3 linked regions of the Drosophila melanogaster genome follow. The protein of the gene in region 2 purifies or fractionates together with the protein of the main gene of each other region. This does not show direct contact. Each region holds a gene or a part of one and is shown on either strand. Other genes may lie near its edges. The genes, in order: Fib, coil and Parp1.

Region 1 (10,160 bases), about 15 Mb from region 2:
TCGGTTCACCCATCTGCAGCACCACGAATTCAGCTACACCATCAAGGTGGAGAACTCCAGCGAGGCCACGCGGTATGGCTACGTGCGCATCTTCCTGGCGCCCAAGCTGGATGATCGCAATGCACCCATGCTGCTGGAGCAACAGCGCCTGATGATGGTGGAGCTGGACAAGTTCGTGGTTACCATGCCTCCCGGCAGCCATACGATCACCCGGAACTCCACGGAGTCGAGTGTCACCATTCCGTTCGAGCGCACCTTCCGCAACCTGGACAAGCTGGAGGAGCTGCAGAACTTCTTGTGCGGCTGCGGTTGGCCCCAGCACATGCTGATTCCGAAGGGTCGGCCCGAGGGTCTGCGCTTCGAGCTCTTCGTCATGGTTTCCAACTACGAAGAGGATAAGGTAAGGTGTCTTTAGAGTATACTGCGAATGCCTCCTGATCCCAATCCTCTTTCCTTGTGCAGGTTGACCAGACGGTCGCAGATTGCGGCTGCAGCATCGCCGCTTCCTACTGCGGCCTGCGCGATCGCCTCTATCCGGATCGCAAGTCCATGGGCTTCCCCTTCGATCGCAAGCCGCGTCGAGGCTCCGAGATCCTGGAGAACTTCCTGACGCCCAACATGTGCGCCGTGGAGGTCATCATTACCCACGAGGACCGCACCGAGAAGCTTCGCGAGGTACCAGCTCGCTCCTGAATAAGAGAAGCATCTTGTTATGGCCAGTTTCATTTTTTGGCTTAAAGAGAAGCCACTAATAACGGTCTATAGCTTTCTCGCTGTGTAGAAAATACCAAATAAATTAATGAAATACTATCAGATGCCAAAATACCAGTTTACCGTTGGAACTCCCCGCGAACGGTCACACTGTGCTGCGGTTGGGGGCGGAATTGAATTTATTTGCAAACAAAAATCGAAACACGGGAGCTCGACGTTAGCGTAAGTGTTACGGCCACCGATTCAGCTGCTGGCCAATTAAAATATCATCGATGTTGCACACAGATACGCCGCACAGACACTCACGCACACACGCACCGCCTGGGAGCAAGATTCGAGCCCAGAATCTCAATTTGATCAATTTAGCATTCTGGCCATTTGACAATACAAATTGAGACTCGTCTGCACTGGGTACAAAGTTCAGTCCGTGTGCATTGGCCTGTGCCTGTGTGCGTGCATTCGGGCGTGTGTGCCTGTGTGAGTCTGTGTGTGCAGTACGCAAATGAGAGGAGAAAAAGCAAGAAACCACTGCCAATCATTTTTCAGTCTGTGTCCAAAGCGCTTGTGTGAAAGTATTCTGATTCGCCCGCCCGCCCGTGAAAGTGTTTTCTGCAATTTTCCGCATCCGCATTCGCATCACAATGGCTGCGCACTTTTTTCGCACTGCATTTTACGCAACGGCGGCCAGAAAATCGATGAGTCTGCCCTTCGCCGGCCGGACAGCCGCAACTCTAGCCGTGGGCCTATCATTCGGTGGTAAATCCCTGTCCTCCCGCATCTCACCGACTTATTTATAACTTTTGCATTGCCCACCATCCCCACCGCCATCGCCACTCCCAATATACCAACGCACGCGAGTAGCGCAAAATAGCCGGGCAGCCGTGCCGTACGAGAATGCCTACGCGGACAGCTTCTTCGGGGGCTGCCAGACGCAGGGACTGCTCCAGCGGATTCCCCAGACCGGATACATCCAGCCCCCGCTGATGCGGAACTTCTCGAGCCTGCAGACGGGCCACCAGCAGCAGCAGCAGCCGGCTCCAAATGTAAGCATATTGATTGGTTCTGGTCCTCCATCGATTCTGGTAACGTGGATTCCAGCGACTAGATTTCCACTAGGATGCACTCCAAATTTTGACTCTTAAAACTTATCTCTTCAGTTGTTGCATTACTTACTCGTATGATTAATCAAAATTGCGAACTTTGATCTTATGGTTCAGATACTCTTAGAATCCGCTCTATCTTCACATTAAGACATTATTTCTTTAGTTACTTATTCTAAAGCAAAATTATCTCCACGACGCAAGTAGTTATGAAAATATATATGTACTTTACAAAAGGATAAGATAAACCTGAACCGCCTAAGATTAAATGTAGTTGTCCATGACGCGGTCAACGTAGTTAGCATTAGAAAATAGTTTTACAGCTTAAAAAGCTTAAAAAAAATGACAATAGCTTCGATGCATAGATCAGATATCATACGTGGATGAGCCATAAATTGCAGGGTATACGCTAATGAGCTGTAGAGCAGCTTGTATTGAACATCTGTTGTTGATCTGCGGTTGAACCTTTAATTACCTCCAATTCGCTTCTTCATTTTAAGCACTTTATAGTTGGTGACTTTGGAAATTTGCATGCTTGAGTAAACTGTAGTCCCTGCACTTTGTACCCGGCAAATGATTTCGGTTTCCAATCTCTCCCAACCTCGCTTCCTCTGCAATGGTGATTTGTACAGATAAGCTTAGCTTACTTTGTATATATTTGTAAACATATGCACATATTCTAATCGTTGTTTTGCAATTAGTGAAGGCTCATTAACCGCTTGAACTAACCATACAATTAACGATATTATTAATTTATGTCATCAATATTCCAGTTCCATTGAACTACTGCCCTTATCCTGGGGCACACTTCTGGATCCACCCTCGCATTCAGCAAGCTCAATTGAGCTGGGGCACAGCTTTTTTCACGATTCAAATCATAATGGCGCCCCAATGCCAAGCTTTCGCTCGATCCGCCAAATGTTCGTGTTCTGTGTTTATTTTTAGGCGGCAAGTTGATACCCAAGTTAAAACTTAAGTCTGGGTATTTCGGATTCAAAGATAGTCACTATACACTCATCTATAAAGGTTAGTGTTAGCTATCAACAAATTAGGGCAGAATACTGCTTAATATAAAAAGAATCCTGTTAAGTTAAATTTCACATGGTATCTTTTAGTCGAGACTAAGAGTTCACCTTTCGCAAATGGGACTGAGGCTTCCAGTGCCGCAATGTAATTTAAACCAATGCCGCAAAGAGTAGAAAAAACATATTCCTCCCTATACACACACACACATCAGCTGAAATAACTATGTACCTTCCATGGGGATTGGGAATGTAAGCTCGCCTCAATTCCGCTCAACTATCCGTGATCGTTCCACTGGATCGCTGGACTATATGCTATATAATGTGGATCAGTCAGTCGGTCAAAGTCGTTGCACCTGCTTAGTTTTATCTTCGATATGGACTTCCTAATTGAAATAACATTACTGGTCATATTGGCAATTATACTGCTGAAGATCTATCATCGGGCGAAACGTGTGAGTGGCCATACAATTTGGGGTCGTCGGTCAAGTTCAAAGTGTCAAGCCAAAGTGAAAGTGTGCTCCAGCATTAAGTCACGATTTGTCTCAATTATAATGAGCCTCATTTAACTCAATAGTGCGGAAACTGTTAGGTCACAATAATGTTTCACTAATCTAAATTGCAACTGCTTATCGTCAGACTTTGCGGGGCTATCTTCGAACTTATAATGCTATCAGTCGGCTTAGCCTTGCTGAAATGGGGGAAAAGAACCTAAAACCTTTGCACCTCCTTCATTTGGTCACTTGCCTTCGTGCTTGCTACAAGCAACTTCTGATAACTCGCCACTGAAAACGGTATGAAAATAGTCTAGTCTTTTGATTTCCTTATAAATCACAGTGTTTGAGAGTTCGAAAAGTGATCGTAGTAATTGAATATCAATCGCGGTAACATGATTCCATGAAATAACCAAATGCACACACACCTGGGCTTATCTTATCACAAACAGCTGTTCATGATTGTAACGTGTTGAGCGAGTTTCAAGGTCAGCAGCTGTTGCCGAGGATAAATCAGTGCTAAAATACTTAATATAAGTATTCCCCCTAATTTGCATGGATTTGGGTGCCCCCGCTAATCTGCAGCCGATCGGACCATATTAACCACTTAAGCTTTCATATCTTATCAGTTAGCTGCTCAGTTAGTGACTGGACCTATCCAAACTTTGGTTCGCAGGGCGATTAGTTCATGGAATAGCCTAGGTGTAATCGCTTGGTCGCACATTTGAAGAGCGGAGAGAATCGAAATCGTATGCATATTTGCTTAGTTATTGAATTCTAAACGTATGCCTTGCACTCCAACTTGTTTGTTGTTTCTAAAGTTTCATTTTACCCACCCAACGCACTAACCATCCCGCATCAGCTGTGCCCGAACATGACTAATAGCCCGTTTCTCCCGAACTCAGAGTGCCATGGCGCCGTCGAACAATCGCCGGTACTTATCCTCGCAGGATATTACCAAGAACATGACCCTGTACACCAGCACCAAGACCCAAGTTGAGGTGGATCCCAAGACGCTGGCCTTCAAGAAGCCCACTGGCAACCCACTGGTTCTCATGATGGCCTGGCTGATGGCCAAGCAGAAGCATCTGAAGAAGTATGCCCAGATCTACACTGAGATGGGATTCGATGTGGTGGTGGTGCACATTACGCCGTGGCAGCTACTCTGGCCGGTCAAAGGATCCCAGGTAATAGCCGCCCTTCAAAGTTTACATTCCAAGTTGAGTCATTCAAACACTAATGCATCCATTTCCTGCTGACCAGGTGGTGGCCGCCGAGACTATTCGATTCCTGGAGAACAACAAGTCGTACGAACCCATTGTGATGCATGGCTTCTCCGTGGGCGCCTACCAGCTGGGCGAGATCATGCTGCAGATGTCGCGCGACATGGATCGCTATGGTAGCATTCTGGACCGCTTCGTGTGCCAGGTGTGGGACAGCGCCGCCGACATCACCGAGATCCCGGTGGGCGTGCCCAAGTCGATCTTCCCGAGGAACGAGCGAATGCAGAGCGCCCTGCGCAACTATACGCTGTACCACCTGAAGACATTCCACAACCAGGCCACCATCCACTACATGCGCTCCAGCCAGATGTTCCACTCCACGCTGCTCAAGGCCCCGGCGCTGTTCTTCGTGTCCGACAACGATCCCATCGGTCCGCCGTCCTCCAACCAGTCCGTTCGCGAGGACTGGGAGCGTGCGAACATCAAGGTTACCTTCAAGTGCTGGGAGCGGTCCCAGCACGCCGCCCACTATATACGGCATCGCGAGGAGTACCTGCAGACGCTGTTCCAGCATCTGGAGACCTGCGGTGTCTTGGAGGCCATCGGCGTGCCGAAGCGCGCCAAGTTGTAGGTGTCTCTAACGAGGAGCGGCTGATCAGTTCAGTGATATACATTTATTCAAGAATCAATGCGATTATGATTTTACCCTAGTTGCTAAGACCTAAAGATTAACGAGCAATGTAAAACCAATGTCCTCTTTGAATGATTATGATCTGTGTGTCTCTCGCGAGGCAGAATCTTCAAAAGCCCGCACGGGAAATTCCTAGGCTAAGCTTAAAGTCGTATTTCATCAACCGAGAGAAGAATGCACTACGCCTCTATATTGTTACATATATTTTGAGATCGCTGCAAAACAGCTAAATAAAGTAATTTAAATGATACGAACACATTAAATGAGTGTTTCAATCAAGTATGTGCTGGTTAAACAAGTATTTTCACAAGATATATGCGATGAAAGATTCTTAAAAGGTCTGAAAAAATATCTCGGGTTAAAATTGGTTCGACAAAAAAAAAACGTGTTACAACTACACTATCGCTGCGGACAGGACTTGAACCTGTGCGGGTAGAACCCAATGGATTTCAAGTCCATCTCCTTAACCACTCGGACACCGCAGCCTTATTGAAGTCCGCTCCATTTGTCACTGATATCTCTCCCTGCATAATTCTATGCTGATAAGCATCTGAATTTCTGCAAAGCGATGACAGTAAATCACTAGATATTTGAATGCAGAAATATGCAGTTCAATTTCTTCAATACCACAAGTTTTAGTTTAATTGATAGCTGCTCTTCATGACATGTGCTCATACTTCTATATGTAAACTATTAGCTTAAGTGAGAGCGAACTAAAAAATAATGTATTGCTACATTATTTTATTTATTTATGTATTAAGCTAATAATCTTTATGGATTCATTAGCCCCACGTGAACGAAACTCCAATTTTCATTAAGAATGGCTTAAGCCGAGACACCACCCCGTGAATAGTTCTTGGTTCGTGTCTGTATAAATGGTGCGTCATACCTGGCGAAGATAGGTGAGGGGGGTGCTGAAATCTATGCTTCATACCAAATAGGAACTTTGCCACCGGGGCGACACAGTTGCGGTGTCCGAGTGGTTAAGGAGATGGACTTGAAATCCATTGGGTTCTACCCGCGCAGGTTCGAATCCTGTCCGCAGCGCAGAACTTTTTTTATTTTTTATTTATTGTGAATTTGCAGAGGGTACTAATAGCTGACCTTAATATTTCTTTGACATTTCATTGTTAAGCATTATACTTTCTGTGATGAAGATGAAAACAAACTAGTGTATACCAGCCTTGCCCAACCATTTTCCGCAATACCCCTCAGAAAAACCACGTTTGTACAAAGATTGACTTTAAAGATCTTCATCTTTCATAGGAACTCCATATTGTTACACTGGCATTTGGTTTTTGTGTATATTTTGTACGTCTGCTACAAAAATAATGTGCATTTTGATTTATCTTTATAACTACGGTTTTATATTTAAAAGAAACTTAATACAACTCGTCTGTATTAGTACAATAGCCTTAAAACTAAACCCAGCAGAAAACGACTTCTTACTGCTTGGGCGGTGGTCGGTAGACGCCAACGACAACGGCGTGGTCTCGCTCGTAGGGCTCCAGCGTGAGCTGCTCTTGGGGCTTCAGCTTGTCCGCCTGCATCTTCTTCACCTCGGCAGCGAATACCGCTTCGGGCTGCGCCGTCGAGTCGATGCAGGAGGCCTTGATCGAGATGACAAAGTGTCCGCCGTTCTTCAGGAAGTGCTGGGCATTCAGCGCCACAATGCGGCCCTGATCCGGCTGGGCAACGTCGGCGAAGATGGTGTCCACCATGCCCACCAGCATGCGGTACTTGTGTGGATGGCGAGCGTCCTCGATGATGGGTATGATGTTGGTGCGCTTCTTGGCCACGTTGATCAGATCGCGACCGGATCGGTGTGAGAACTCCACGGCGTAGACCAGGCCCTCGGGTCCCACCACATCGGACACATGCGAGACTGTCGTTCCGGAGGCGGCGCCCAGGTAGAGAACCTTCGAGCCCGGCGGCATGTGAATCTGCTCGACGCCACCCAGAACGGCGGCAGCCAGCTTGGAGCGGAAGGGATTCCACACGCGGTACTCAATCTTCTCGCCATTGGTCTGCAAAGAAGAACAGATTTAAATCCATTGCTCTTTCTTAAAAATTATAGCAGAAAGCAAGAAGTAAGTAAGTTGAGTGAAATACAGAGTTGTTTGGATTGTTCAGGTAGCTTCAAATCACTTTTCAAGATGGTGGACTTGTTTGGGTTCTGTTTGTTTTGGGATAGAAGGGTAGATAGATAGGAATTCGCCTCAGTTGTGCATTATTCTAAGCAGCCCTTGGAGCTCCGCGACTGCTTCACGTGCACCTGAAGTGCACACAGCCACAGGTGACCGCCAAGGATGCTCATGGCCACATGATGCCATGTTCTGTACCCCTGCACAACCTCATCATAAGCTAGGAATAGGGAAGGTAAGTGAATAAAGATGAGAACAACAAACCTCAACGGAGATGCGCTTCTCGCCGTAGACTTCGGATCCAGGTACAAAGTTCCTGGTGACCAGAGCGTCCTCCTTGCCGCGCGCAATGAACACTCCCTCGTGACGATGCGGCTCGATGGTGACGGTCTTGCCGCCCTTGAAGCCGCCAGCACCACCACCACGTCCTCCTCCGCCGCGACCACCGCCTCCACGGCCGCCGCCACCGCGACCACCGCCGCCGCCACGTCCTCCGAAGGCACCACGGCCGCCGCCGCCACCACCACCGCGACCACCTCCTCCACGGCCACCACCGAATCCTCCACGGCCACCGCGATCGCCGCCGCCACCGCGTCCACGGCCGCCTCCAAATCCACCGCCTCCTCCGCCGCCGCCGCCACCACGCCCACGGAATCCACCTCCTCCTCCTCCGCCGCCGCCGCCACCACCGCGTGGACTGAATCCTGCAATAGAAAAGATCCGCATTTGAATTTCGGTTGACTCAGAGGTTAAGTTGGAGACTATCAAAAGCAAAGGCGACGCCTGCTTCGATTTGTATCGTTAGAGCGTGATTTTACGCACCTGGTTTGCCCATTTTATGTTGCTGTACTTGCACTTTTTAATACAACTTTCGACGAAATGTGATTGAGTCCGTCAACACGCGGCAACCAAAACGCTTGAAAAGAAAAACACGTGTGTGCCGGAGTGTGGCCGCAGCAGTGATTTTAGTGATAATATACAGAAGTACAAAGGCGAAAATACCAAGAGAATGATGTTAGTGTGTGTGTTAGGTGGGAAACTTGGCTGGGACTGTAGCTAAGTTCAACACCAGGCGGAGAGGCAATTGTGCATAGTGGTACAAAGGTTGAAAAACTGTACATTTTATTCTTGGATATCTTGCAAATAATGTAATTCTTTTTTTTTTGTATTCAATTCAAAAATTGATTGATCAATTAAATTATTGATTGATTTATTAAATTAATTTAATTTTTATGAGCCACTACATTATTATATTTTACTTATTTGATGCATGTAACTATGGAAGTATATGATTAATAATTACAATCCCGTAGTCCTTGACAATGACCCCAGTGCCTTGGAGATCTAGTGTTCGTTGACCAAACAAACAGCCACTTGAAATCGATGTTTGAGAAAAACGTTCCATTCCGCTTTGAGAGTTCTAGTTGGGAGCACACACTTTCTGAAATTGTTAACGCATAAATCCTGCTGTTTTACCTAAACTTTTGCAAACATAATGGCCTTCCGCTCGGTGGTTACGATGGAGAAGCCGCTCCAGCACATTTCGCTGACGGACTGGTATGCCCGTGTGAACCAGATGCGGAATGTGGCGGATGCCCGGAGGTCGGACGCCTTCGCCATCCGCCACTCATCCCGATCCTTGAGGAACGAGACGCGGATCGAGGGCGACTGGGCCAACTACGAGACAAATGAGGCTCTGACCGATCGGTGAGTGTCCATATCTTATATTAAGATTAACAGCACGATTAATAATCTGTAATTTATACATCAGCATCTCCGAGTTGAATCGCTGGCGGGATATCATTTCCAAGTCCTTCGAGAAGATCGAGCGCGAGATATTCATGCTGCAGGAGGAGAAGAATGCCACGGAACGGGAGCTGGAGGCGTTGGCAGGTCCGATTTCCGTGATAGCCGAGTGCCTGACCATAAGGGACGGTCGCCTCGGATCGGAGATCACCTACGATGAGGCCGACACCGAGATCAAGAACGAACTGGTCGTGCTGGAGAACAACCAGCGCCTGCTGGCCGATCGATGCCAGAAGGCGTGGGAGAAGCTCAATCGTCTGGAGGAAGTGCGCTTCAAGATCGGCCTGGAGATCGAGTTCAAGGTGGAGGCGGTGCAGCTGGACAACTCACAGCTGGCGCTCGATCGCAACTCGGCCAATATCTCATACAAGCCGGATCCCACGAGAAATCCCAAGAAGTAAGTCACACATGGAATGTCCCAGTAGCTCAGTAGGATAACTAACCAATCACTTAGCTCCTGTTCCTACGAGTCCTGGCTGGAGAACGTGAAGAACATAAAGCTGCTGGCGGAGAATGAGCTGGCCGACACGTACGCCATTCGGGAGGCTTTGTTCGTGTGCCGCGAAAAGGCGCGCAACATGCTGCAGTCGCAGCAGGAGCGGGCGGAGCACACCATCCGCAAACGGATCTTCGAGACGCAGCGGGCCAGAAACGAACTGGAGTGGCAGCAGCTCAAGATGAAGGAGGAGATGGAGAAGGCCATGTGCGAGATCCGCACCTCGGAGAATGCGCTGCGTGACAAGACGGATGCACTGAAGCTGGCCGAGACACGCCTGGAGAATCGTGCCCAGAGGTCGGGCATGGAACTGTGCATGGACCAGGCGCACGACATGCTCTGCTTGGAGGTGGAGAAGCTGCGAGAGATACGACGCCGACTGCAGGTCAAGATCGACGAGAGCAAGACCAACTTTAGTCTGCTGGAGGAGCACGGCAAGCGAATCGACGTGGATCTGGAGAACAAGCAGCACT
Region 2 (10,551 bases):
AATAACAGGCGGTGGCTCATTTTGGCGCCGCGCCAATTTACAAATCTGTCCGCTGCAGCCCCCCGGAAAATAGTAATCATCACCGTTTGGCAGGGGGCGTCGCCTGCCATGTTAGCTGCAGTATCGCGTGGTCACATAGCCGTGCTCCTGTTTTCACTTTCACCGACATCGATCAGATTCCATTAAATTAGGAACTTTGTTTTGCAAAACCGATTATTATTACAGATTATCCGCAGATGGATCGGAATTTTAATCATTGAAATAAACAAGTAATGACGATAACACATTCCTCACTCTCCGTAGCCTACGAAGATATTAGTTTTTGAACAGTAAACCCAATTTTTCAGCGGTTCAAATGCCTTTAAATTCAGTGACCCCTAGACTGTTTATATGTTTAGCTCAAATATAAAACTATATAGACTGGGATTCCCAGAACACACCTGTAAACCCACCAGGATAGCCCACCTTAAACTAGGGATTGCTTGGGCTGTAGGTACACAGATTGTTGGCTTTTTGGACTACCTGCCTCTACATAAGGAACATGGCTTAGGAATTGCCTGGTCAACACACTTACCTCTTCCAAGACGCCAATCGTGTGGCGGCAGTCGGGCATCCTCGAGGCGAAGGTGGAGGTGGTGGGCGAGCTGTAATCGGAGCGCGTCTCCTCCACAAACTCGGACACGGCAATCAGGGATGGCGGCATTTTGCTGCTCAGGATATCCCGATGTCCTGGTATATACAGCGTATCTTTTACTCACACGCACACTCACTCACACACACACACACGCGAGTCGCACGCACACCAGCTCACGCCCAAGGCCGTGGAACGGGAGCAAAATGGGAGTGGGAGCGGGACGGCAAATAGCTGAGAAACTACCAGGATAACGCCTTTAAGCACTGTACGTGTCTCTGCGTCTTTGTTCACTCCCGATTTGTGTTGTTGCTCGTCGCACTTTCCCTGGCACTATATCCATATATCCACACACTGGCGTTCTCATCATCCTCATGCAATTTGGCTTTTTGCTTTTCGCTTTTCGGTTTTCTGCGTTTTTGGTACTGCTCGTACTACTCGAGATGCACAATTAACTTTGTCTCTGGGCGAGGGAAGTGCGCAGTACCCGGAATCGCGGCAATCATGGTAGGATCAGAAACACACTCGGACTGGTACTGCTACTGTGACTGGGACTCGCGGCACTGGACATGGTCGTCCTAACTTTAGGCGTGATTTAATACTTTTGTTTTATTGCGATTTTGTGCTGCTGGCGTCTCGCTGTTGTTACCCTATCGATATGCTATCGAAAGCAGCAGGCCTGTTTCGCTGACTCACAGTTACGTCGCCCAACTGAGGTAGCGATAACATTTATCGACCGCCAGCAACGCGGTGTGGATTTTATTCGGTTTTTTTTTTCTTTTTCACTGGCATTTGCTTTGAGTTTTAATACAGAGTAGAACAAGATGGCTGGCAAGCGACAAGCCACTTCGAACCTGAACCACGAAAACTGGGACCTGGAGGAGGAACCCGAGGAGCGCGGCACATTCCGCACGGCCACCGAAGAGGAGCTAAAGACACGCGTTATCAAGAAGGCGCGCCGCAAGATTGCCGGTGGATCGTCCGCCGCTGAAGAGGATGGCGCCGAAGAAAAGACTGCAGAGCCCAAAAGTGTGTTCAGTGGCTTTTCCGGTAAGCTATCAAATCCATGCAGACCTGAGGGACTTGCTCACTCCGATTGCTTTTAGGTTTCGGCAAGCCGGCTGCGAGCCCAGCCGCGGGTTCGCCTTTCTCCTTCCTGGCCAATGTGACGGCACCAGCCACGACCTCTAGCAGCGAGCCAAAAAAGTCTGCATTCTCGTTCGGGTTCAGCTCCAGTTCCAGTTCGGCCGATCGGCCTGTCAGCACTAGCATTTGCGGCACCGCCAGCACCAGCAGCACGGCCCCCTCTCCTTTGCCGGCCAAGGAATCAACAAGTACCGTCGATGGCGCCAAGCCGACCACCTCGATATTTGGCAACATATCAGCTGCCAAGAAGGAGAGTAGCGAGGCCAAAACCAGCAGCAGCAGCACTAGCCTCACATCCACCATGGAGACCTCCGAGTACCGTGAAAGCGTTGCTGACCTAAATCGGTCCGTCATAAAATTCCTGCAGGACCAAATGGGCAAAAGTCCCTACTGCATACTGACTCCAGTGTTTAAGAACTATGATGAGCATCTAAAGGATCTGCAAGACGAGGAGAGCGCCAGAACGAACTCCACGAAATCCAAAACGGCACAAGCTCGTTCTCAAGAACCAGTTGCAAAGGTGTCCCGTGCATCGTCGCCACCAAAAGCGGCTACTACGTTTACGTTTGGCAAGCCCAGCGCGCCAATAGGCGCCAGCGTATCGCCCTTAGCCAAGAAACCCAACTGCACCATAACCAGTGGTGGAACAACCACCACGACCGCAACACCACTGGTCTCCTTCGGCAGTACGGCATCGTTCACTGCGCCAGTGCCGTCCTCCTCCAGTATCTTCAGTTTGACAGCAAAACCCACTGGAGAAGCCAAATCCGATGATACCCCTAAGTCCAGCATTTTTAGCTTTGGAGCAAAGGATACGACCACTAAAAAGGATGAGCCTAACTTCTCGGCACCGAAGACCAATGGCTTTTCCTTCGGACTGAAAAGTAACAACGACGACAAGCCAAGCACCTCGTTGTTTGCGGGTTTCGGAAAAGCGCCTGGAGGAGCAGGAGACGGCGCAAAGGGCTTTTCCTTCACCAACAGTGCCACGCCCTTCTCTCTCGGAAACATTCATCCGCCAGCTGCAGCGGCAGCGCCTGCGGAGGAGGAAAAAGAAGAGGATACGCCCCCAAAAGTCGAGTTTAAACAGGTGATGATAAAAGAATTTTCTTTTCGAAGGGAAAGATAATATAACTTCTACTCCAAACAGGTTGTGGAGGATGACGCTATATACTCCAAGCGGTGTAAGGTGTTCATTAAGAAAGACAAGGACTTTGGCGATCGTGGCGTGGGCACGTTGTACTTGAAACCTGTCAAGGACTCCGAAAAGATCCAACTGTTAGTCCGCGCCGACACCAATCTGGGCAACATCTTGGTCAACCTTATTCTTAGCAAGGGTATACCTTGCCAGCGCATGGGCAAGAACAATGTGCTGATGGTCTGCGTGCCCACGCCAGAGGACTCCAAGGCCACATCGCTGTTGCTACGCGTAAAGACCGGTGACGAAGCCGACGACTTGCTGGAGAAGATCAAGGAGCACATCAAGTAGAGGATAGACAACTAACATGAATTCGTACATATAGATGTTGTTTAATCGTTTGTATTTTAAAAGCTATAAATGTACGAAACCCTGGAAATAGAACTCAAGAATGTACACACAAAAATGATAATCAGTCAATTGTGGCTACAATGATTTTGGCTTCAAGCATATCTTTGAGATGAATACTTAAAGTTCGCACATCCTCAGAAGACTCGTCCAACCCACTCATATAATATTGACGCAACATGCGACCGATTTCGGGGGGATAAGCTAAAAATTTTAACGAGATCAGTTTCGGGTATACAATTTAAATTGATAGTCGCTTACTTATTGTTTCCACTGTGACAATTTTGGTGCGCCGGTTAACGTAAGTGCACCTCCCGGCGACAAATTCGGTTGTGCCAGAATTGGCGTTTCCCTTAATCTTCAGCAGTTTAAATATAACCGTATCGCCCCTGGACGGCAGGCTATTGAGTGGAGTTGCAGTCCGCAGTAGGTCCCTTATAATATCCAAAGATTGCCTATTTTCTACTACTAAGATGTCAAGGGCACTCATAAGCATACATCTACCATTTAAATGCCTCGTATCTCACCTGGAATCGGTTCAATATCAGAGTCGCCGTATGAAACGTCGATATTGGAGTCGTCTACCAACATCACATCGTCGTCGGAATCGGATACTAGTTGTTCCTCAAAAATGGGCACTGTTACCGTTTTAACATCCTTCGAATCAACGTTATTTTTAATCGGAGATGCACTTCCGTCATCTGGCAAAATTTTTTCGACTTTGGGTGTTTTTTCCATAGATGTGTTGTTCTGTAGAAATGACTCAGTAAGTTCAAGTGGATTAGTTGCTTCAGCTTCGGACGGAAGAGTGGTCTCAGCTTCAGTCGAATTGTCCAGATAAGCGGATTCAACTGCTCCTATGGCCCCCGGAAGAGTGGTTGATGTTTCAATGATGTCTTCGCAAAGAGGTGCAACTGCTCTCTTTATACCTTCTGAAACATTTTTTTTATCCTTTACATCTGGTAATTCTTCGTCGTGCAAAATTTCGTAGGATTTAGGCTTTAAGGTTGAATCCTTCCCATTGCTTGGGAATTGTTTAGCCGTATCATCACTCTTAGCTCCTTTCTGCAGCAAAAAACGAGGACTGATGGGCTTAAGTTTTTTATATTCCAGAATTTCAATTTGTTGTTTTTTAGTGGGAAATTGAAATATGCGCGGAACATTAAAGGGCATCTCCAAGAGAGGGGAGCGGAACGAAATCGATAGGAGGCTAGCAGCAATGCCAGGACTCTTCTCAATTTGGTCCCCTGCTTTCAGTTGAGATAGTTTATCCGGAATTTTGTTGGACTCCAAGTGTGTTTTGTCCTGTTGCTCCTCTCGAGTTTCGTTTTCCTTCGTTACCACACCAGATTTTTCTGATAGAATGTCAGGCGATGTCTCTTGATTCTTGCTTTCTGACATTTTACCCTCCTTGAGCGTGCATCGAGAAATACTCTTAGGAGCAGGTTCATTCTCTACCTGGTCAGATGCCTCGGGCGATTTGGTCGGTTTCTTGTTTTTGGATTTATTTTTAATCTGAGGAGCAGATTCCTTGTTCTCTGTCTCGATGTTCGCTGACATGTTAGAAACTTCTGTCTGAGTTTCAGGGGCCTTTGGAGTGCCTTTGTTTGTCAAGAGCTTTGATTGTACAGAAGGTCCAGGAGCCATATCTAGCAACTCCTTCTTTCTCACACGAGATGGGTTTTCTGCAATATTTATCCATTCTGAGTTGTTCTGGTTCTTGGAGCGCTTTGAAGGTCGGAGGGGAGTGGAGGCGGTTAGGTGAACCTGTTCCTCGACGGATCGATTCTTGCGCTTTTTACTGGATTTTACAGGAGCAGGGCTCACAAAGGTATCACTATCGTGGCTGGCAAACCGAAAGGCTCTGCAAGGGATGAATATGCTCAAGTAGATCGTAAAAAGAAATAAGCTCACCTACTTGAGTCCTTCGGCAGAGTTCAACACTTTGATAGACTCCCTCGGGGGCAGATAGCATCCATCTGAGGTGAGCAGACTAATGTCCTTCTGTTTGAATGCAATTTATTTAGAATTAGCAGTTAGAGATTCTTAAAAATCTTGCCAAGCTGAAGAGGTTTTGTATGTGGTCCTGGAGGTCCTTGATGTTGTTCCATGCTGCATCGATGAAAACCAACGAATTTCGTCGTTCGTCCTTGAAAAAGTTTGATAGATCCACCTTCATGCTGGAGTGTTGCATTTTTGACTTAGTTTTCTTATGATTAAAATGATTTTAAATGTGCTAGAGATGGAAGTATGTTCGATTTCGTTATCGTTAAATCGATGTGTTTAAATTTCTGTCAAATTAATGTCATATTTTTTGTAGCGATTTATAAAAATAAAGCTTATTTGAATGACAAACTACATTAATATTAAAAAATTGCAATATGGAAAACAATATATTTAAGTCAACGAGATTTTACTTGAAATAATTTAAGTTAGTTTTAAAAATGCCTAAAGCAGAGGGCTGTAATAATGGATAAATTAAAGCTTTGCCTTGCAGAGAATTTAATTTTTTAAACTCCCCTATGTTATCGATAGCATTTACCAGCTACGCACGACCGATAGCGATAAGACAGTTCTTGTGTACAACGAAAACAAATAGTTCTTATCAATAAAGTTAGGCATTGATCACGGCTCCGAATTAGATCAATGATGTAATTCCACCACGAGGAAGCTCCGATCCGATCCGATTCCACTCCAAAATGAGCCACGGCGACCAGAGTCAAAACCAGAGCAGCCAGCGGAGCCAGGCGCTCACTGGCGGTGGTGACTCCCCGAGGGACAGGGAGAAGGAAAAGAAGGGCTGGTTCCACTCGCTGACCAGGCGCAAGAAGTCCGACTCGGCGCTGGCCGTGACTGCATCCGCCGCCGTCTCCACCAGTGGATCGCAGAACAACAACAACGAAGTGTGCGTCCTTGAGGCAGCGGACTCTTCCATGGCCAGCTGCAGCAATGGGGGCACGGGCACAGGAACTCTGCGCAGAAGGCGGGACAAGGACAAGCGAAACGTGTTTGCCAGACTACGAAGGAAGGTGGGCCAAGGGCTCAGCTCCCTGCGAAACTGGCACTCCATGGGCGACTGCGACGACGGCGGAACTACTGATGCCACCTACGAGTTCCTTACGCCGGCCATCTGTCCGGAACCCACGCTACCATTCACACACGACTACTTGCGCTTTATCCGGAAGAAATGGCTTGAGCGCGAGGACGCCCACTCGCCCAACCAGATCATGTACAAGGCCTGCTCCGAGATGCTCAAGTAAGCGCCGTGTTTCTCCGTCCATCAACGATCGATGACTCATGCCCTTTGTTTGTTTTTAGCCAAGTGTGGTACTGGGGTGAGATCTCCAGGCGCGATTCGCAGCGGCAGTTGAGTGACAAGCCGACTGGGTCGTTTCTAGTCCGCGACTCGGAAACCAGCGGATCCCAATTCACGCTCAGCTTTCGGATTGTGAACGTAACCCTGCATTATCGACTGGAATATCGCGACAATTTTTGGCACTTCGAGGAACTTAAGTACGAGTCCATTGTCGAGATGATCGAAGATATCTTGCACCGCTGCACCAACGACAACTTTGTGTGCTTTGTGAAGGTTCCCAACGAGATGCAGCCACCGTTTCCAGTGATCCTCAAGTACCCGTTGAGCCGGTACTCCAACATGCCCAAGCTGCAGGACTTATGCCGCCGTGTTCTGCAGCGCCAGATGTCTCGCGAACAGCTGGCCCAGTTGCCAGTGCCGGCGCAGATGCTGGAGTACTTGTCGGTGGAGCGGGAGCTGGTCTTCCAGAGTTAGGCAACCGCCGCCCGCCGTCGAGAAGCCGCTGGTCAAAGCTTTAACACTGAAGTAAACGCAAGCGCGTACACCAAAGAGGTCCGGGCGAATGGAATCCCAGCCTGCAGTTGTTCGTAATGATATTTGTTGGTCGGATTGGCAATATGTTGTTGATGCATTTCTACGCCCCAGTAACTAAGCGCACAGTCTCTCTTCACGTGCACGCCGGAATCCCAGTGCACAGAATTTTACTGTATTGTACTGCTAAGTACGGTTAGTACTAGTATCTTGTCTAGGATAATGTATTATGTTATTTGCCATATTTAGTCTATTGGTTTGTTTTATATGGGTCCTGGTCAAGTCTATACTCTGCACCACAGTGTGCAAATCCTTAAGCAAATTTTTAAACATTGAACTACTGCATATATGTATTAACGTAAGTTCTAAGCCAGATGTATCGTACTATTTACGTTGTTTGCATTTTTGTATTCCTAACTTGGACACTAACTTTTTGCTAATCTAGATTGCATGGAATTTAGGCAGCTTTACGGCAATCGAATACGTTCAATGCCAATTACTCTTGTTGCAACGTGTATGTATTTTATTTAAATCTATCTATGAATATTTTACAAGAACAAAATATCAATCAACTCCTTGAGCGATCTTGCAGTCAAAGGAGCTCGCAAATAAAGAAAAAATCACACAAATGTATATGTATATTCAGGAGGGGAGATTTTGCTGTTTAATGTCCTCCTCTTCGCCCTCCAGCTCTACATGGTCATACATGCGATAGGCTTTGAACTGGCCCAGCTTGACACCATCCACGTAAAAGAAGCTGAGAAAACATCTGCGGCACAGGTAGGAGGGATCGTGCAGCTGTCGCCGGGACTGGTTCACGATGAAGCTATAGCTGCGAATGCCGCACATATAGCAAGTCCTGCGATTAAACGTACTGAAGGCGTGAGGATAGGGATACAGGCTGCGATCTGGCCGTTTACTAAGTGGCGTTAGCACCTCTACCTGGGAGATCACAAACAGGTGTTCGCAATTGCCGTGGTGCAGGTAGTGTAGCGGTGATCCGGGGCTGACAGTGAGATCGATGAATCTTTTGCCCTCCATACTCTCCACCTTAAGCGTTTCTCCGTTCACTCCGTTCGCTCTGGCAGCCCACTGCAAGACGGTCTTGGAATAGTCGGGATTGTCCGGATTGCGCTGGTCGTTGTAGAATGTGTCGTTGATGAAGAAGTAACCGGGATTTGTGTCAATGGATGGCAACGGTGCATCTGGATCGTCGCTGATGTCGACAAACCGTTTTCCATTGCAAACGCAGCTGATCTTGTCCCGCAGCTCGGTCAGATAATTGCTGCCCAGACATACGAACTCCTCGGCGAAAACGGGAATCTCCACCTTAAACCCGCGATGGTAGGCCCGCGGTGGTCGATATAGACGCACGGTTAGCTCCAGTTCGCCGCAAGCATCGATGTGCAGGTTAGGCGAGTCTGTCGGCGTCGGATTCAGTTTGTGGCTGTACTGGGTGCGGCCAAAGGGACACTTACGGGACTTGTCCTTGTGCTGGCTTAGAGCAGTAAAAGTGGAGGGCACATGCTGGTTCTCCTGCGGCGGAGAAAAGGTTGGGCGGCATTTGTCTGCGGCGGGCTGGAAGACTGCAATCGAGCTGTCGTCTGGGGACTCGATCAAGTCCAGGGAACAGCTTTCAGACACGTCGACAAGTACTGGGTTTTTTTGGAGAAAGAAGGGCACTTCGTCTGCAGTACCGGATATTTTCTTTTGATAGTCGGCTAGAAAGTCTCGCAGGCTTAAAGCTGGATTCGTTGTAATATAGGTGGTATCCATGGTACTAAGAGGTATGTCTTGAAAGAGTGTTTTTTGTTCAGGATTAGACTCAGTTCTCCACACTCAATGATCTTCTCCAAACTTGTTAATAGCCTCCTTGTAAGTTATATTTAGCTTCAGAGATTCTGGCTTTGGCTCGGTCTGATCGTCCTCTTCAGTCTCAGCCGACTTCTCCACCTCCTGGTGCAAATTGTCCACGTAGACCCTTTCAAAAGATATCACCTTGGTGGATTTGTCCACGTACTGGTACCGCTGGCGACACACTGACTCAAAAAGCGGATCACTTGCCAGATTGTCTTTTTCCTTCTCAAAGAACACGTTGGTTCCCACGGAATGTTCGTAGCGTCCCCGATAAATGCTTCCATTTACCTCGGCCATGGGCGTGTCACTCTCGATTCCGATGATCTTAATGGCCGCGTCCTCGTGCTTCAGCTGGTGCGGATGAATGTGGTTCTTGAAATCCGCAAATACCAGGTACTCTGTGTCCTCGTACTCCGAATCGGAGGAATCGTTCATGTTCTCCTTTTATCGTTATGCATGGGCCCTGATTGATGGTTGAATGATGGCGTTATTTCGCAATATATGACTTCCTTAAACAATAATTTGTCTGATTCCCATTTACAAAACCTTGTTAGAAATGTGCGTGCACATTCCTCTTCTTTCCTTCCTATGGTAAATTTAAAATGGCATTGTGGTGTGAAAATACTATTATTTTTATCATCCAAAGAACTGCTTTCTTAAATACCGGCAGTTATCGATAGGTAAACCCACCACCAAACCATCGAAACTATCGAGGCGAAAACTGTCATCGGTAAAAACGAGGCGAACACAAATCTGTTTCAATTTGTGTCAAAAACTACGTACGTTTTCGTATAGTTGTAAATATTAGTAAATAATAAATAAATAAGCTTATAAATAAATATTTATGCTGACGTGGTGTGGCGCGAAACAAAGTCGAAAAGGGTTTAAAAACGTAGACTTTTGAACGAAAAACAGCAACCCAGCAACCCAGCGTACGTGTGTTTTCACAGGGCAGCCATTTTGGGCGAACTCAACGTCAGCAGAACGAGCTCGTAATTTGTACATTTATTAAACGTAAGTACAGTGTGTTTAATTAAATATCAGTGTAGTAGTGCGAACGCAGTGAAACCTAGACATTTCGGTGTCCGCAGCCTGAATTTATTTACTTATGGCTTGGATTTTCACTGCATTTGCATGATGAACTCTTCATTCGCGCTCTTAATGTTTTACGCTCTTTATGCTCACTTTCGCCGCCCTTTTCTCATTGACAGCTACCATACATACATAGTTACGACAACTGCCGTTTTGAGTACCACGCCGGAAGCTTTTGCGCCAACAAAACCGAGCTTTTGTAGCAGACGTAAACAAACCCAAATCCAAAGCAATGGCCGATGAAGATATCACATTGAACGAGGATCAGCTCCTGGAGTCATTGGAGGAGACGAACGGGGAGCAAGAGACTGAGATCGCCACAGAGGTCGAGGTGAGTTGGGGTTGCCCTTGTAGACAGTGCCCAAGAACCAGTTTCTTGGCCTCACGCCTTGCGAAAGCCCGCCGAATTCCCTGGAAAAGCTCGCAAAGCTT
Region 3 (10,798 bases), on a different chromosome or scaffold from region 2:
TGTACAAAACAGTTGCACATAAACAGTTGTGCTCGCTCACTATTAAGAGAGAGGAACATAGCACAAAGGGGAATGCAAAATCTGTTGGTGCACAGAGCAATGTATAAAAGTGATATAATAAAATAACTTATGATTCGCTGCTGCTGGCTGCAGGCTGCATAACCAAACAAAAGACATTAAGGAAATATTAAATCACTAACAAAAGCCTTTAATTATTGCAGATCTAATTGATATCTCCGTATTCATAATTGTACATAACGAACTCTTAATTATTTATATCAAGTACCCTGTAATAACAAAAAGATGTGAAATTTATTTTGCCAGATCCATTCACTAATAACTAATCAGATCGCCAAATGGGAAAATACTTTTTATGAAATATCTAATTTTAAGAACAAACTTTCTAATAACTATGGTATTTTAAGTAAAGATAAAACTTGTTTTACCCGCTTACTAAATGGAGAGAATTAAATTTGCACCAAGATACGAGAAAAAATAAGAATATAGATATCATTCAAGAAGGTGCCATTCTAATAATAGGAAATAATATTGTAAGCAATTCTCATTTAGACGGGTCATATTTAATAACCTTCAACAGCACAACTACAATAAATAATATTTGATACACCAATTTAGAAAACAAATTACTTGAGTACATAACCACTAACCACTTTAAGAATCTGGACTTATCAGATTACATAAAATCCAACAATTCAGAACTTACTCTTGACAACATTAATATTTTAAACAATTACAATTAGAAAATATCAATATCATTTTTATTATTAATTTTAATCATTTTGTATTTGAATGCTACATTAAAAATAAAATTCAAATACGTATATTAATTTGTAACCAAACAAAAATGACAAGAAGCTTTTATCCTAAACACTAAACATTAAAAAAAAAGACGAACTGCAGTAGAAAGATCATATTATTAATATGACCACACCGTCCAACTGAAGAAAGCTGAACGATATCATTTACAGAGCCGCTCAACTGAATGGGTTTGACTACTTGTTTAGGTTTGAACGTTGTAACTTAGTTATATGCAAAGACACTAGAATAACAAGATGCGTAACGGCCATACATTGGTTTGGCACTATGCAGCCACTTTTTAAGTGACGGCCAAAATTACTCTCTTTCCGCTCACTCCCGCTAAGACCGTAAGAAATCTAAAAATATAATTTGCTTGCTTGTGTGAGTAAAAACAAGAGACGAGAACGCGTATAAGTGTGCGTGTTGTGCTAGAAGACGATTTTCGGGCCGAAATCAATTCTGATCGAAGAAACGAATTTACATGGTACATATTAGGGTAGTTTTTGCCAATTTCCTAGCAATATGATAAAATAAATAAATAAATAAATCCGCGGCCCATTTTAGAAAAAGATGATAAAGATGATTTAAATTTTAGAATACAAAAAGATTTAACTCTTTACAATCACGCGGTCAAAAAAAGTGAAGTCAAAAGTGTAAAACATATTCAGTTGAGCCAAAAAATTAAGATTTTTTGTTATGTTTTTGAAAAAAGGATATAAAAACAAATTTAAGAGATCAGAAACTTTGCTATTTAACAAATAACTGATCTATTCATACATACAAATTTATTTAAGTCGGATTGCATATAACAAAGACCCTAGAATAACAAGATGAGTAACGCCATACGATTTTTTGGCACACGATATTTTCGCCGTGGCTCTAGAGGTGGCTCCAGGCTCTCTCGAATTTTTGTTAGAGAGCGAGAGAGCGGAGAGCGCTACAGCGAACCGCTCTTTTCTACGCATACAGTGATAGCAGACAACTTTATGTGTGCACACGTATGCTCATGCATTGTAAATTTGACAAAATATGCCCTTCACCGTAGAAGTTCTTAGACTTTAAATCTATATTATTTTTGATCAATTGGCACCATGCGAAAAATTCTTGTTTTGCATTGCCTTAACGTTATTATTATTTGAAAATAGATTAGAAATAGCCAAATCTATGTACATAATATCACAAAAATAAATTTCAAAAATGACTTTATATAAGAATATTTGTCATTAGAGTATTCATCTTGCGGCGTGTGAAAAATTAATAAGGCAATGATTGTTGAGTGCTTGTGTCCGCACTTCGTGCCTCAAGATATGAACAAAGCAAAGACACTAGAATAATTCTAGTGTCTTTGATGTGACTTTTGCAATAAACAGTTTTCATATTTTTATTTATTTTACAAATTTGTATTTTCTACTTCGTATTATTTTTATGAAATATTTATTTCTCGATGTAATGTATTCCTTTTGTTATAAGTAGTTATAATAATTTATATTTTACTTCCTTTAATTATTTAGCATACTTATTAAGTCATTTGACTTAATATGATTTATATATGATAATGATCCATTTTTATTATTTAAAATGCACATTAGATTCAGTTGTTTTTCAGTATGTTATTTAAATAACTGACGACTGAAAAATCGAGCAGTATATAATAAAAAACAATAGTTAGAAAAATAACTTAATTGGGGAATGTGGAAATGTTTTAATGTTAAACATTAAAATATTTCAAGTCGACTCGAAGGTCATATACGTAAATATAAGACCCCATTACAATTGTAATGGCCTCCCCGTGGTGTTCCCTGGGTACCGACTATTACACATATTACACATAAATAATTATCAACATAAATATAAATATGTAAACGGTAGCTAATTCGAGCGGCGATTTTAACAAACGAATTTAAAAAGCTTTAAAATTAAAAAATTTTAAAATTAAAATTAAAATTTTAAAATTATAATAAGAAGGGCGCGAATTTTTAAAAATTATTTTATTTCATCATATTGCTACGAAATTGGCAAAAAACTACCCTAATATGTACAATGTAAATTCATTTCTTTGATCAGAATTGATTTCGGCCCGAAAATCGTCTTCTAGCACAACACGCACACATATACGCGTTCTCGTCTCTTGTTTTTACTCACACAAGCAAGCAAATTCTATTTTTAGATTTCTTATGTTCTCAGCGTGAGCGAGCGGAAAGAGAGCAATTTTGGCCGTCACCAAAAAAGTGGCTGCATAGTGCCAAACCAATGTATGGCCGTTACGCATCTTGTTATTCTAGTGTCTTTGCCAAAACTAATGGTTGGGGGAGTGGCATATCCATAAGTCCATTAGACTTAAGCACATGCCTACACACAGCTTCTTATTATAGAAGAACAACACTAGTAAACCAAAAGCAATCCTGACTGGAATAAGCCCAAAGTCGTATACAGGATGATAATCGAAAACTTTATTTTAAGATTTCAATAAACAAAGTCGTGAGGATCTAAGAGCGTTTGTATCCAATAGCGAATGAACTCGAGTCCAAGAGAAATGCAAAGACAAATCAATGTTAGTAACTCCAAAGCTCTGTTTATTTCATTGGAACTCCAAAATCCAAAGCCCATATTTATAAAGCTCGAGGCCGAGGATTCAAAGTCAATCAATCCATATCAATTTGTTGAGTTCAGTTTCAGACCTTAATTAAAACGGTCGGTGTTATTATTCAGTAAGAACATAATTACCATTCCTTCTTAATCTTCCAAATGACCACCCTTTCTTGTTAAACTAGCTGGTGTATAATCGACACAGAATTTTAATGTTGCCGAATTCAATTACAAAGTTATATAGTTAACAGTCGTACGTCTTATAACAGAATACAGCTTAATTACGGAATGAGCTCCTGTACAAGGTCTTTAGAATCATTGGAAATCGTCTATAATAATATTTTTGTAGTCTTTAACATCGATATACAATTTTATTATTTAGGAAAATATCGCCAACATAATTCGATAAATAATAAATGTCTTGAAATTGACTTCCTTTAAAGTGTAATATGGATATTGAATTACCTTATCTTGCTGAGTATGCAAGAACTGGACGAGCCACTTGCAAAGGATGTAAAAGTACTATATCTAAAGATACTCTTCGGATTGCTGTCATGGTTCAAGTAAGTTACTATGTGGTACATACATACGTAAGTAGTCTGCAGATAAAAGATTGAAAATGAATTTGATTAAACTGATACTGATTTACGAAACTTTAAAAGATCCCGATTCGCCGTTAGTCCCATCGGTCGTCGACAGCTGCGGCATGTAATTGCCAGCGGTAAATCGTGTAGCGGTGGGGGCACAAATACTTGCGTCGCTCACCCACAGGGTGCCAGTGGCTTGCTGCAGTTCTCTGGCCCAGTGTGCGTGTGGCAATGCGTGCGGCCGAAGAAACGAAAACAGGTCCTCAAACATCACGTGAAATCGAAACTAGCGGGAACGACAGCGGGACTGACATTGGTACTGACAGTGGGACCGACATTGGGACCGACAGTGGGTCCGACATTGGGACCGACAGTGGGACCGACAGCGGGACTGACGGTGAGACCGACAGCGGGACTGACGGTGGGACCGACAGTGGGACTGACAGCGGGACCGACAGTGGGACCGACAGCGGGACTGACGTGGGACCGACAGTGGGATTAACAGTGGGACCGACAGCGGGACTGACAGTCGGACCAACAGTGGGACTGACAGTGGGACCGACAGCGGGACCGACAGTGGGACCGACCCTTCATTTCTTCTACCGTCACGCTTCAACCTATAAAAATGTTGCTTGTGAGTCGCTCACCCAAAGGGTTATTTCGCAGCAGGCGAAACACTCGGATATTTTTTATTGCCGAAAGTAGAGTGTCAAAAAACACCCGGGGGTATAGACACCCAGTTGGTGGGTGCGGGTGTACTAAGAGTGCCAGTGGCTTGCTGCAGTTCTGTGGTTGGGGCCGCAAAAATTGTAAGACCAGCTGAATTTTCGCCATGTCCTCACATGGTGATGATCGTTCTGAAACAAACTTTCACAGAGCGAAACATGAATACTAGCTTTTATAGTTTTCGAGATCATAGCTTTCATACAAAAGGACAAGGCCAATCAAGAATACCATGTCCGTCTGTCTGTCCGTATGAACGTCGAGATATCAGGAACTATAAAATCTAGAAGGTTGAGATTTAGCATACAGATTCTAGAGACATAGATGCAGCATGACCCATGTTGCCACGGCAACTCTAACGCCCACAAACCGCACAAAACTGCAACGCCAACCCTTTTGAAAAACGTGTTGATATTTTTTTTTTTCATTTTTATTAGTTCTGTAAATTTCTATCGACTTGCCACGCCCACTTTAAAGCCCTAAAATTGCACAAAACTGCCACGCACACACTTTTGAAAAATCGTTTTATTATTATTTTTTAATTGAAACGGTTACACCAAACGAACGAAAGACAAAGAAACTATTTTATTGTATTTCTTATTTTTTAGTCTGCATTTCATGATGCCAAAGTTCCGAATTGGTTTCATAAAACCTGCTTTTTTAAAAACCAGCGTCCCAGCTCAGTAGGAGACATACAAAACATTGGAAATCTCCGATTTGCCGATCAAAAGGAATTAACGGATCTTGTGGGTTAGTATTTAAAATTGATCTATATCAATTTAAAAACATTTTGAAATGTACTTAGAAAATATACAAGAAGTTATAAGCGCACAATTAGGAAAAAAGCGATCGAAGGCTTTTAACTTAGCATTAAAAGACTTTGGGATTGAATATGCAAAATCTAGTCGATCGACGTGTCGTGGATGTGAACAAAAAATAAACAAGGATCTAGTTCGCTTACGTAAAACTGTTTATGATACTGAAGTTGGTATGAAGTACGGAGGCCAACCTTTGTGGCATCATTTGGAATGCTTCGCCCAATTGCGCTCTGAGCTTGGCTGGTTTGCGTCAGGTGAAGATATGCCAGGATTTCAGAGCTTAGCAGATGATGATCAAGCGAAAGTTAAAAACGCCATACCGTAAGTTAATCTCACATTGAATTTCTATTAACTGTTCTGTAACTGTTCTGCATTGCTATTATTAAGTTATCCCTCTTAAAGAAAATAAGCTTGATTATACTGAAGATTGTAAACTGAAATAGATAACTGTAATTTGATCCACTAAGTATTCTGATCTCTTCTTGGTCATTCCTTAGTTGGGGATGCCCTTCAACTATATAGGTACAATAGTGTATATTCTTTGTTAAAAAATATTTATCAGGTAAAGGCAACATTTCCGGCACTAAAAAAATTAAATAATCGATCCCACCCTAAAAGATAAGACTCGAATTGTCCATGTCCGTATGAACGATGTGATTGTGGGAACTATAAAACTGGGTTGCGATTAAACATGCAGATCCGAGTGAAGCGGGCATATCAAAAGTTTTTTGACAATTGTAGATTGTAGAGGAAATCAACTATAACTTCGCCTGTAGTTTGTCGAAAAGTCAAGTGAATTTAACAATGTTATTTAATATATGTAAGTCGACCTTAATCGATGGGCATTGGTTGTATCGCCGCAGGAAAATAATGTAACTATTTTTCGCTATATTTAGGCTGGGTCGTGATTATTTGAGCGTAAATGTAACAGCTGAGTTAAAATTATACTGGAAAGGTACATACACTAGTGGGCATAAGTATTTAGACACCATTAGCTTGAAACTGCCGGGCTTTTCATAGTACAGTCAAATAAATAAGTAAACTATTGATGATAAAACAAAAAGTGCAATTACAGTTACACACGAAGGGTAAGTTTGGCTGTTTACCTTTTCAATTATCCTTGTGCTTATAAGAAAGCTAGACAGGCAACGATTTGGGCCGTGGCAAAAGTATTTAGACACATTTAATTAGTTCGCATTGATCTGTTGTTCGAAGAATATCAAATTTTCGACTTTTTTTTTAGATCATTTGAACATTTTTTCTTGATAACGTGGGACTGCCTACTTTTATTTCATTCATAAATTTGTTAAACATGGGGAAAACAAAGAAACTGAGCGAATTTATAAAAAATTGAATAATAATTAAGTATAACTCTGGTATTTCGGTACAAATTATCATTGATTTATACAAAATTCCACGGGCAACGGTGCATTACCAAATAAATAAATATAAAAAAACACACACAACCAAAAACGTTGCGCGTAGTGGCCGACCACGTAAAACAACTCAAAAGGGCGATGGTTATATTATACGGAAGTTTAAGCAGAATGTTCTACAAACTCCCCGATCGGTTGCCAAAGAACTAAAAGAAGGAACAGAAATCGATATCAGTGAAGGAACGTCTTAAGGAAGCCGATTTTGGAACATATGTTAGCAGAGTTATACCACAATAACTCTACAAATAAGTTAAAACGCCACGACTTTGCCAAAAAATATGTTGGACAGCCAGCATCATTCTGAAACAATGTTTTGTGGAGCGATGAAAGCTCTTTTGAGTTTCACTGATCAAAAAAATTTTTTTTTGTTAGATTACCGAAACATTATCGTAAAAAAGTGGCACCAGTGTGTCAGTGAATAAATCATTCAGGAAAAAATATATATAGATGTCCTTAATAATCATGCATTGCCCTAAATTGCTTGGAGAGTCCTTCATACTCCAGCAGGAGTATAAGGTCAGCATAAGGTCAAACTGATTACGCAGTTTCTGAAAGATGTTTGCGTAAACACATTGGATTAGCCACCTCAAAGCCCAGACCTCAACATAATAGAAAACCTCTGGTCATATATAAAACAAAAAAAGGCGTGCAAACTTATCTAAAAGTCGCGAAGAAACGATTTTGGAAATTCAAACCTTATGGAAGGATATTTCAATAGATTATATCCACAGCTTGGTACAGTCTGTACCAAAACGTATGCAACAGGTGATGTAAGGGAGGGTATATTTTTTATTAATTTGTCATAATTTTTTAGTTGACTTTTTTTTATTTGAATTAATAATATTTAAATAATTTGTCCAAATACTTATGCCACTGCTAATTTGTAAAAAAGTAATTTTTGTTAAAAAACAATGAGAACAATGAGAAATGGAGAACTTCTCCATTATTTTTTGTTACCTAATTTAACAACGATAGCCGACCTATTTACTAAAATGATTAAACAATAGAAAAGATAGAAAAAAATTGATGGACGGATTTACCAGGTAAACGACAGGGAACTGCAGCCACTAAGATTATACCCTAAAAGCACGACTTTAAAGCACTGCTACCGATTTATCCGGCTGTCCCATTCATTGATTTTATGATCGAGCATTAACACGTAAGCGAATTAGTTGACGTTTGTCGCTGCTTTCTCATTTGCTTGCGACCACCATTATACCGTTATCTTTACTGTTTTAACGTTATGACCGGTTCAGCAGTAGGGCTGTTGTCTGACAACGGGTAGATCCCAAAATATGGCGTCATTGTATGTCACGACCCACGAAGGCCATCGTTAGGGTCAAATTGACCAGGACCATACCATTTGGAGTTATATTTTGCGTTTATTAATGTAGCGAGGTAACACTGTTGCGCTTACAAACAAATATTTAATTGTAAACACAAATTTTGTTTTTCGGTTTCGGATACATTTAAAAAAAGTATAATTTTAATATAGGGCTTATATCTGTGTCAGCGGCGCAAGCAGTAAAAAACTGTGCATAAAAACTGTGCACTATGGGAAATTTAACTTGTTTTGTCGGTATATATTAATATCTCGTAAAATATTTAAGATTGTAAATCCAAATGTAGAATTAGAACGATTAGGACGACTTCTTCTGGCCTAGAGACTCAGATAGCGTGACAATAAAAGGATGTAACGGCGGATCGTCGAGTTCGGTATGAAAGCTTGTGCTCCTTATAAAATAAGTATTCAGAACAAACTGACTTAAAACGTAACATAAAGACGCTTCATAGCGGTCTCTGCCAATACGCTGAGCTTGCCGGCTATATAAAAGCTTCCTGTTAACATACTACAATAACTTGAATGCTCTTGAATGCGCCTTGACACTACAATTCCTCTTATAAATATACAATTAAAATTAGCATGATTATTAATTCTACAATTAATAGCCTGAAAATTAAGCCCTTTAATTCATATTTATTTTCTCTTCTTTCTTTTAATCCCTCCTTAATTTATTATTTTATTCGTTATGGTAAGCGGCAGACAATTTTACTGGATCCCAAACAATACTTGGAATCTTACTTAAATTACTCATCATTGAATACTATGATGAACTATTAATATTTTGTTGTCCTTGTGTAACCGGACGCATTAGTGACTGCTTCAAATGGTTACTTAACCCAAATATCCAAAATTTTCTTTGAATATAATCTGGTGTGATTATATCTGGTGTGAAACCAGATTAATTCCGCCGTGTAATGTTTCCCTATGTGCATTTTTGATTATTAACGATGTTAAATTACACGTATCTAGAATTTCGTATAAAATTTAGTTCTGTAGTTTTGTAATCTACCTTCCACTCTTTGCCCGTCTTTATCTAAAAATGGGTTCAATGCTAATGTTTTCCTTTTAGTATCAATATCTTTTTGGTGCTTTAAACATTGTATCTCTGAACTAAACTGAATTTCCGGCTGCTTGTTATAAATGCATTTGCTACCTTAAGTTCATTTGCTTTAAAATATGTGGGAAAAGATTTATTTTTTATTTTAATTTTATTATTTTTTTTAATAAATCTTAAGATATATGCAATAATTCTCTCCAACTTTCGAATATAGGAGCATTTTCCTAATAGTGATATTTTTAAATTGTTTTGGGCTTCTGTTAATGTAGTACTATCTAATTCAACCGCTTTGGCCAGTATTCTTGCGTCTTGAGGTCCCGTTAACTAAATTCTACATTCTAGTAATTTTTCTATTGTTACACCCCTAGTAGCTATGTGTGCAGGGTTAAAATTAAATAAATAAATAAGAAAAAAAATTGCATTTATTATTCCCATTTGTAAGTGTGATCGTTGGAACACTCCAGCTATAAGCCTTCGATTGACCTAATATTGCTGTCCTGAGGAGGGTAATAGATGTGCTGAAAGTGATGAAAGTTAATATTTAGTAATTTAGGGATGGATAGTTTTTTGATTTTTTTTCGGATTAACTTTTGCTAGTTATAATGCTTACTTTTTTCGGACGCATCAGAGAATCCATGAATTTGTACCGGAATTTTATCTTGGGATTTTACCCACCTTGGGAACCCAATACTTTTTAGATTTGTAAAGTTTTCTTTGAACGTATTCCATTCGTTGGCATCTGGATCTGATAAGTTCTGATCCAGACAACCAGTCTTAAGGGTCATACATTTTCGCATGTGTGGATTCCATTCGCTTATTTACAATCGATACCTGTACAAATTTGAATTTAAATTCAACTTCGATCGGTTCCCACTGCAGCCCCAGAGTTTTTATCGATTCATTTTCTCGGGTCTCCAATATTTTATTTTCTTCTGTACTTTCCGATGCTTCCACTATTTCTGAGACATTGGAAATCCATTTTCTAAGGTTGAAACCCAAATTTTCCAAGTCAAACGTTATTTGTTCAACGTGTTCTATGCCTTCTTGTACATAATTTTTTTTTTGTATTGATTTGAGATTTCAGCAAGCTCTCTTGTCGCTGAGTAGGGTGCCGATGGTGTAACGCAGGTAACAGTTGTTAACCTATATTCTTTTAATTTATTATTTGGAGAATCTCCCGCGAGTGGGGCAATGAGATCAAGGACACCATGGCTGTCACCCTAATGTATTCGTTTCACTTGTTTTGTTATTGTTTCTTTATCCCGGACTCCGACATTCTGTATTATTAATATCCACTTACTGTTCGAAGCATAAAATAAATGGTAACCGCGGTCACGCTCTGGGTAAACACGTTGTATAAAATCATAGATAAACCACATATTTGTATACTTTGTACGCGCAAAGATGTAAACTTAGCCTTGCCTTTT

What was found.
Region 1: the proteins of coil (region 2) and Fib purify together in Drosophila melanogaster (affinity purification with western blotting, with the first as the bait; one study listed by BioGRID). This does not show direct contact.
Region 3: the proteins of coil (region 2) and Parp1 purify together in Drosophila melanogaster (affinity purification with western blotting; one study listed by BioGRID). This does not show direct contact.

What each region holds. Positions count from the first base shown.
Region 1 is NT_033778.4:23,066,375-23,076,534, forward strand, and holds Fib (fibrillarin), read right to left. Parts: upstream 8,352-10,160; 5' UTR 8,221-8,351; coding exon 8,208-8,220; intron 8,090-8,207; coding exon 7,650-8,089; intron 7,595-7,649; exon of another isoform or gene 7,455-7,594; intron 7,269-7,454; coding exon 6,687-7,268; 3' UTR 6,535-6,686; downstream 1-6,534. Other genes in the region: PPO3 (prophenoloxidase 3), read left to right, coding at 1-400, 463-693; l(2)k09913 (lethal (2) k09913), read left to right, coding at 1,353-1,467, 1,573-1,754, 4,233-4,514, 4,591-5,181; CG3085 (uncharacterized protein), read left to right, coding at 8,881-9,092, 9,157-9,588, 9,646-10,160. UniProt on the Drosophila melanogaster protein: S-adenosyl-L-methionine-dependent methyltransferase that has the ability to methylate both RNAs and proteins. Involved in pre-rRNA processing.
Region 2 is NT_033778.4:8,121,683-8,132,233, forward strand, and holds coil (coilin), read right to left. Parts: upstream 5,561-10,551; 5' UTR 5,518-5,560; coding exon 5,383-5,517; intron 5,328-5,382; coding exon 5,242-5,327; intron 5,188-5,241; coding exon 3,851-5,187; intron 3,792-3,850; coding exon 3,585-3,791; intron 3,528-3,584; coding exon 3,388-3,527; 3' UTR 3,299-3,387; downstream 1-3,298. Other genes in the region: Asap (ArfGAP with SH3 domain, ankyrin repeat and PH domain), read right to left, coding at 575-703; Nup50 (nucleoporin 50kD), read left to right, coding at 1,456-1,681, 1,738-2,867, 2,928-3,266; Socs44A (suppressor of cytokine signaling at 44A), read left to right, coding at 6,023-6,579, 6,642-7,113; Pbp49 (PSEA-binding protein 49kD), read right to left, coding at 7,813-8,946; CG42516 (uncharacterized protein), read right to left, coding at 9,010-9,462; Pabp2, read left to right, coding at 10,352-10,450. UniProt on the Drosophila melanogaster protein: Component of nuclear coiled bodies, also known as Cajal bodies or CBs, which are involved in the modification and assembly of nucleoplasmic snRNPs. Required for Cajal body formation.
Region 3 is NT_033777.3:3,580,036-3,590,833, reverse strand, and holds the start of Parp1 (Poly-(ADP-ribose) polymerase 1), read left to right. Parts: upstream 1-3,779; 5' UTR 3,780-3,854; coding exon 3,855-3,968; intron 3,969-5,323; coding exon 5,324-5,465; intron 5,466-5,520; coding exon 5,521-5,854; intron 5,855-10,798. UniProt on the Drosophila melanogaster protein: Poly-ADP-ribosyltransferase that mediates poly-ADP-ribosylation of proteins and plays a key role in DNA repair.